2 linked regions of the Anolis sagrei genome follow. The protein of the gene in region 1 interacts with the protein of each later gene in a pairwise test. Links are inferred from orthologs where the notes say so. Each region holds a gene or a part of one and is shown in the gene's direction. Other genes may lie near its edges.

Region 1 (3,758 bases):
TGAACCATCTCAAAGCTCCCTGCTTGAGCGGTGATGGCACGATCATCAGCATAGATGAAGCTCTCCGTCCCTTCTGGCAGTGGCTGGTCATTTGTGTAAATGTTGAACATGGATGGGGCAAGTACACTCCCCTGAGGCAGGCCGTTCTTCTGTTTCCGCCATCTGCTTCTCTGGACCTGGAACTCAACAAAAAAGCTCCTGTTTTGTAGCAGGTTTCCTATGAGGCGGGTGAGGTGGTCGTCCTTGGTGATATTATACATTTTTCTCAGGAGGAGGCGGTGGTGGTTCACAGTATCATAGGCTGCTGACAGGTCTATGAAGACAGCTCCTGTGATCTGCTGCCTTTCAAAGCCATCTTCTATGTGCTGAGTCAGGTTCAGCACTTGCGATGTGCAGCTTTTGCCTTTTCTTATCCACACAGTCAAAGGCTTTAGAATAGTCAATGAAGCAGAAGTAGATGTTTTTCTGAAACTCCCTGCCTTTCTCCATTCTCCAGGATCTGGATATTGGTAATTGGGTCTCTCCTTCCTCTGCCTTTTCCTCTTTCCTAAATGAGAGGAATTCCACTCAAGCTCCCACTGAAGAACATGGGAGTCCTCATTAGACCTTCTGGACTAATGTGGCCCTTCTCTAATGTCTCTTTCCTGGCTCAAAAGCGTCTTGTTTTGGGCAGACCATCCCTGCTCGTGTGGGCCTTCTCTAATGTCTCTTTCCTGGCTCAGGAACTTCTTAGGCCTGAAAAGGAAACCAAACCGACGCCATTTTGCGCCTCTTTTCCCATCAGGCACCGCGATTTCGGATGCGCATGCGCCCTTCGGGAACGGAAGGAGCGCGCGCATGCGCAGTGGGCGCCCCGGCACTTCCGCCGTTGGAGAAGGAGGCCCAGGGAGTTTGGAGAGGCGCTTCCTTGGCAACAGGCAGAGGGAAGGTGAGGGGCCTGCGGGGGGTGGGAGTTGTAGTTCGGGGCGGGCCGCAGCGGGGAGAAGGCCCCACTGGGGCTGCCTCAGGATCCTGGGATTTGTAGTTTGGGAGAGGCAACAGGCCTCTCTTCGGTGGGGAAAGGCCCAAGGCCTTGGCAAACTACAACTCCCAGCACCCAGGAGCCTTGAGCCAGCAGGCCTGTGAAACAGGGATCCAGCTGCCTTAGCTCTGCAGCACAGATGGATTAATCAAATGGTAATTATTATTATTAAATTAATATTATATATTATATATTATAATATTTTTATAATTTATTATAATGTTACTAATATATATATATATATATATATCCAACTGCCTTAGCTCTGCAGTACAGATGTATTAATCAAATAGTAATTATTATTATTAAATTAATATTATATATTAATATTATTATTATATATTATAATATTGTTATAATTTATATTATAACACTTTTATATATGTGGGTATGTATGTGTGTGTGTGTATATATATATATATTATCCAACTGCCTTAGCTCTGCAGTACAGATGTATTAATCAAATAGTAATTATTATTATTATTATTATTAAATTAATATTATTATATATTATAATATTGTTATAATTTATTATAATGCTACTATAATATGTGTGTGTGTGTGTATATATATATATATATATATATATATATATATAAAATATCCAACTGCCTTAGCTCTGCAGTACAGATGTATTAATCAAATGGTAATAATAATAATTATTAAATTAATATTATATATCATATTATTATATTATATTGTTATAATTTATTATAATATTACTATAATATATGTACATATATATATATAATATATCCAACTGCCTTATCTCTTCGGTACAGATGTATTAATCAAATAGTAATTATTATTATTAAATTAATATTACTATATATTATATTATTATTATATATTATAATATTATTATAATTTATTATGTTACTATTATATATGTGTATATATATATATATATATATATATTCAACTGCCTTAGCTCTGCAGTACAGATGTATTAATCAAATAGTAATAGTAATTATTAAATTAATATTATATATCATATTATTATATATTATAATATTGTTATAATTTATTATAATGCTACTGTAATGTAATATATATATATATATTTATATATATATATATATATATTACATTACAGTAGCATTATAATGCTACTGTAATGTAATATATATATATATATATATATATCCAACTGCCTTAGCTCTGCAGTACAGATGTATTAATCAAATAGTAATAATAATAATAATAATAATAATAATAATAATAAAGAGCCTATACGATTCTTTTCAATTTCTGGCTGAATAACTTAAATTCTGATAATATTTTGACTTTGGTGTTTTAGCCATTCCATTGTGTGGCAGTGTCGTTCGGGTTGAATCGGTTGAGACTCTGTGTTGAGATATTTATAGAAAAACTGTCGCAAAATGTGCTGCAGGATGTCTCTCTTGCAACAACAAAGTTTTGGCAGTTGGATCAACGTTTTCCCATGACTTTATGATAGAACCAATTAGGAAACAACATTGGTAGCACAGGAACAAAAATCATGTAATAACTGTGTGTGGAGGGCGAACTCGGGATCTCCTGCAGGGAGAAAATTCTCTCGCGGATGGAGTGTCACGCTTGGCCTTTCCTTCCTTTTCCCTGTTCTGCTTCTAGACGTCGAAGATGAATGTTGATGCGGCGATGCTTTGAAGTCCCGAAGACTCCGTGGTTCAAGTGGTGGTATGAAAATGGCCGCCTTGCCAGGGACCTCTGTCGGGCCTCCTCCTCTTCCTCCGCCGGACCCGGGGGCCGCGGTGTGGGAGTGGCAGGACGAGTGTGGGCGCTGGAGGCCGTACTGCAGTGGGGTGTGCTGCTACATCGAGCAGTCCTTCCAAGCCCTGGCGGCAAAGGGCCGGCGCTCGCTGGGGACCTGGCCCTTGCAAGGCAGCATCCCCCTGGGGCAAGCGGACCCTGCTTTGGCCCCCTACGTCATCGACATCCCCAGTTTGACGCAGTTCCGACAAGATACAGGTAATGTCCACAGGGACTTCCATCTCCTAGCCAATCGGTAAACAGTGTGACTTGTGCGTGTTGATGGTTCGCCTGCTGAGTAAAAAAATGGAAATGCAGTAACAGTAATAATAGAGCAAAGGCGGATCTGGCCGGAGTGGTCCATGCCTTGGTCACCTCCAGATTGGATTACTGCAATGCGCTCTACGTGGGGCTGCCCTTGAAGACGGCTCGGAAGCTCCAACTGGTCCAACGATCAGCAGCCAGGATGTTAACTGGGGCCCCTTACAGAGAGAGGTCAACCCTCCTGTTTAAGGAACTCCACTGGCTGCCGTTTATATTCCGAGCTCAATTCAAGGTGCAGGTGCTTACCTACAAAGCCCTGAACGGTTTGGGACCAGCCTACCTGCATGACCGCATTTCCATCTATGAACCCACACGTTCTCTTCAGTCATTAGGAGAGGCCCTGCTCGTGATCCCACAGGCGTCGCAAGCACGCTTGGTGGGGACGCGGGACAGGGCCTTCTCCGTGGTGGCCCCCCAACTCTGGAACACCCTCCCCAAAGACCTTAGACAGGCCCCTTCATTGGCTATTTTCAGAAAGAACTTAAAAACCTGGCTTTTCCGATGCACCTTCCCAGATTAGGAAACCTCCACTACCGAGTCCCACAAGCACTTTATCAGAACCAATGACTGCTGCACATTGCACATCGCACTCGCCCTAGAAACCCTTTATACACCTCCTGTCAAATCAGCACTTTTAATCCTTGTACCCACCTTTTGGCCC
Region 2 (3,758 bases), on another chromosome or scaffold:
TTTAGTGTTTTAATGGTTTTTAATGCTTTAATTGTACTTCGAATTGTTTATTTGTTGACATCGTATGGTGCTTGTGTGAGGCCGCCCTGAGCCATGAAATAAATAAATAAATAAAGAATCAGTTTATATACATAGTAAAAATCTAATAATATTTAATAACAAATAATAATAATACATTTAATAAATAATAAATATGAATAAGAATCAATAAAATATTGATAAATAAATAAATAAAATAATATTAAAAGCATTTATTAATATTTAATAATAAATAAAATAATAAACAAATAAATTAAATATAATTGATTTAAAATTTAAAAACAACAATAATAAAATAAATATTTTAATAATATTTAATAAGAATAAAATATAGAATATTGAACTCCAATACTGGAGAATCGGTTTATACACATAGTAACAATCTAACAATATTTAATAAGAATTAAATATGAATACTAATTAATATTTAAAAATGATAAAATACGTAATATTAACATTATTCTTTAAACCATTAAAGACAAATGCACTTTAATATTAGTAAAGGTTTACTAAATTCGTTTAAAACTTTGTTTTTAAAATATTTAAATAATGTATCCATACCTCTATCTATCTATAATAATAACAATAATAATAATAATAATAATGACCACCTCAACAAAAGTTTGCTCTAGGCACTGTCAGGCCATTATATGCTAATCAAGGTGGTCAGTTGAAACATTCACACCTAGCTCCAGCAGACAAGAGTCCTTTGTCCCACCCTGGTCATTCCACAGGTATATAAACCCTTTTTCCTAGTTCCAACAGACCTCACAACCTGTGAGGATGCTTGCCATAGATGCAGGCGAAACGTCAGGAGAAAATGCCTTTAGAACATGGCCATATAGCCCGGAAAAACCTACAACAACCCAATACTAATTTAATTGGAGAAATAGCTCACAAGGCCTCCCTCCTTCCAACGAATTCAAACTCGGAGAGTCCAACTGTCTATCACAAACGCCTAAAGCAATCCCTTTCCCTTTCCTTATACAAGAAACTTGTTAGAGTAAGACTTTAGCAATCGTGTCCGCACTATGAAAAAAAAACCGCGCTTTCACCTAGCTAGGGTTGCTATGGCGACGTAGCGAAACCGTCAGGCGAACACGGAGGGCACCTCGAACAAGGCTGTCCAAAAGTGGGGTCCTCCGATAGGAAAGCGGTTGGGAGTTTGCGCATGCGCACGATGTCTTTCGAGAGAGGCGTTCAGTCGCTAAGGCGAGAGCACATGCGCAATGGGAAGAAGCGAGAGAAGGGGCAAAACAGTGCCGCGCGTGCGCAAAAGGCAGAACGCAGAGGGAGAGGATTACGCTGCGCGTGTGCAGCTGAGAGGCAAGCCCTTGGACATGAGGGCCGTGCTGCGCATGTGCACGGGGAATGAGCGAGGAAGCAAGCGATAGCAGTGACGCGCATGCGCAAAAGGGAGAACGCTGAGGCGAGAGGCGTGTGCTGCGCGTGCCCAAAGGGAATGAGCGAAAGAGCGCGCGGGGAGGGGGGGGCGGACAGCGACGCGCCTGCGCGGAAAGGAGACTTCTGCCCACCAACGGCGCCTGATCTTCCGGTGTGTCCCCGGCAGGCCGCCGTCATCGGCGCCTGCGCGGCGGGCATTAAAAGGGGACGGGGGGCGGGGCGCGGAGCCTTCCTTCCTTCTTTCCTGCCTGCCTTCTTTCGGTTGATGGCGGATCCCGAAGAGAAAGGAGGAGCAGAAGGCCAAGCAGAAGCAGAGCAGCGCTCCCGGGCAGGCTCCGGAGGACCCCGCAGGTCGCGCGCCCGCGCAGGGGGCCTCTCTAGACCACAGCCCAGGTAGGCTCTATGGTATGGGAAGAGGCAGAAGAAGAGCAGAATCTATTATCCCATTATTATTCTGTTCTAGTAATATTCTCTAATATTATTAATATTTTCTTCTATTATTATGTAATACTATTCCTATTATTTTACTATTATGTTCTATGTTCTATTATTATCTACCATTATATTCAGCTATTAATACAGTATTATATTATTTTATTGTTGTTATTCTACTCTATTCTATATATTCTGTCATAGCTCCAACAGACAAGAGTTCTTTGTCCCACCCTGGTCTTTCCACAGATATATAAACCCCATTTATATACTATTATATATATATATATATATATATATATATATATTCTATTTATATATTATTATTATTTAATTACTTTATTTATTTATTTACTTTATTTATATCCCGCTGTTCTCAGCCCTTAGGCGACTCACAGCAGTTAACAACAAGAACAGCAAAAATTCAATGCTACCATAACACGGTATAAAAAACAGTTAACATCATAACATATTATAGAAAGGTATACAATTAACAACAATATACAATTAACACCAATAGCCATTATTATTATTATAGAACAGAATTGTTGTTATTCTACTCTATTCTATATATTCTGTCTTAGCTCCAACAGAGAAAAGTTCTTTGTCCCACCCTGGTCTTTCCACAGATATATAAACCCCATTTATATTCTATTCTATATATATATATATATATATATATTCTATTTATATATTATTATTATTATTTATTTACTTTATTTGTATACCGCTGTTCTCAGCCCTTAGGCGACTCACAGCGGTTAACAACTAGAACAGCAAAAATTCAATGCTACCATAACACGGTATAAAAAACAGTTAACATCATAACATATTATAGAAAAGTATACAATTAACAACAATATACAATTAACACCAATAGCCATTATTATTATTATAGTACAGCACAACGACAGAGAGGAAACAAACAAGGACGTCTAATCACCTCTCAACGAAGGATTGCTCCAGGCTCTGCCAGGCAATCAAATGCTAATCAAGGTGGTCAGTTGAAACATTCACACCTGGCTCCAACAGACAAGAGTCCTTTGTCCCACCCTGGTCTTTCCACAGATATATAAACCCCATTTATATTCTATTCTATTTATATATATGTGTGTATGTATATATATATATATATATATTCTATTTATATATTTATTATTAATATTTATTTACTTTATTTATTTATTTACTTTATTTGTATACCGCTGTTCTCAGCCCTTAGGCGACTCACAGCGGTTAACAACAAGAACAGCAAAAATTCAATGCTACCATTACACGGTATAAAAAACAGTTAACATCATATTATAGAAAAGTATACAATTAACAACAATACACAATTAACACCAATAGCCATTATTATTATTATAGAACAGCACAGCGACAGAGAGGAAACAAACAAGGACATCTAATCACCTCTCAACGAAGGATTGCTCCAGGCTCTGCCAGGCAATCAAATGCTAATCAAGGTGGTCAGTTGAAACATTCACACCTGGCTCCAACAGACAAGAGTCCTTTGTCCCACCCTGGTCTTTCCACAGATATATAAACCCCATTTATATTCTATTCTATTTATATATATGTGTGTATGTATATATATATATATATATATATATATATTCTATTTATATATTTATTATTAATATTTATTTACTTTATTTATTTATTTACTTTATTTGTATACCGCTGTTCTCAGCCCTTAGGCGACTCACAGCGGTTAACAACAAGAACAGCAAAAATTCAATGCTACCATAACACGGTATAAAAAACAGTTAACATCATATTATAGAAAAGTATACAATTAACAACAATACACAATTAACACCAATAGCCATTATTATTATTATAGAACAGCACAGCGACAGAGAGGAAACAAACAAGGACAT

What was found. The genes of interacting proteins can lie anywhere in the genome.
Region 2: the proteins of DTX2 (region 1) and EIF4ENIF1 interact in binary tests that used the Homo sapiens proteins (3 or more experiments, as listed by UniProt). The two-hybrid records come from large-scale screens. The link is inferred for Anolis sagrei from reciprocal best matches to the Homo sapiens genes DTX2 and EIF4ENIF1.

What each region holds. Positions count from the first base shown.
Region 1 is NC_090031.1:32,855,744-32,859,501, reverse strand, and holds the start of DTX2 (probable E3 ubiquitin-protein ligase DTX2), read left to right. Parts: upstream 1-830; 5' UTR 831-928; intron 929-2,635; 5' UTR 2,636-2,703; coding exon 2,704-2,992; intron 2,993-3,758. UniProt on the Homo sapiens protein: Regulator of Notch signaling, a signaling pathway involved in cell-cell communications that regulates a broad spectrum of cell-fate determinations.
Region 2 is NC_090034.1:49,410,836-49,414,593, forward strand, and holds the start of EIF4ENIF1 (eukaryotic translation initiation factor 4E transporter), read left to right. Parts: upstream 1-1,467; 5' UTR 1,468-1,836; intron 1,837-3,758. Other genes in the region: protein SFI1 homolog, read right to left, coding at 807-833. UniProt on the Homo sapiens protein: EIF4E-binding protein that regulates translation and stability of mRNAs in processing bodies (P-bodies). Plays a key role in P-bodies to coordinate the storage of translationally inactive mRNAs in the cytoplasm and prevent their degradation.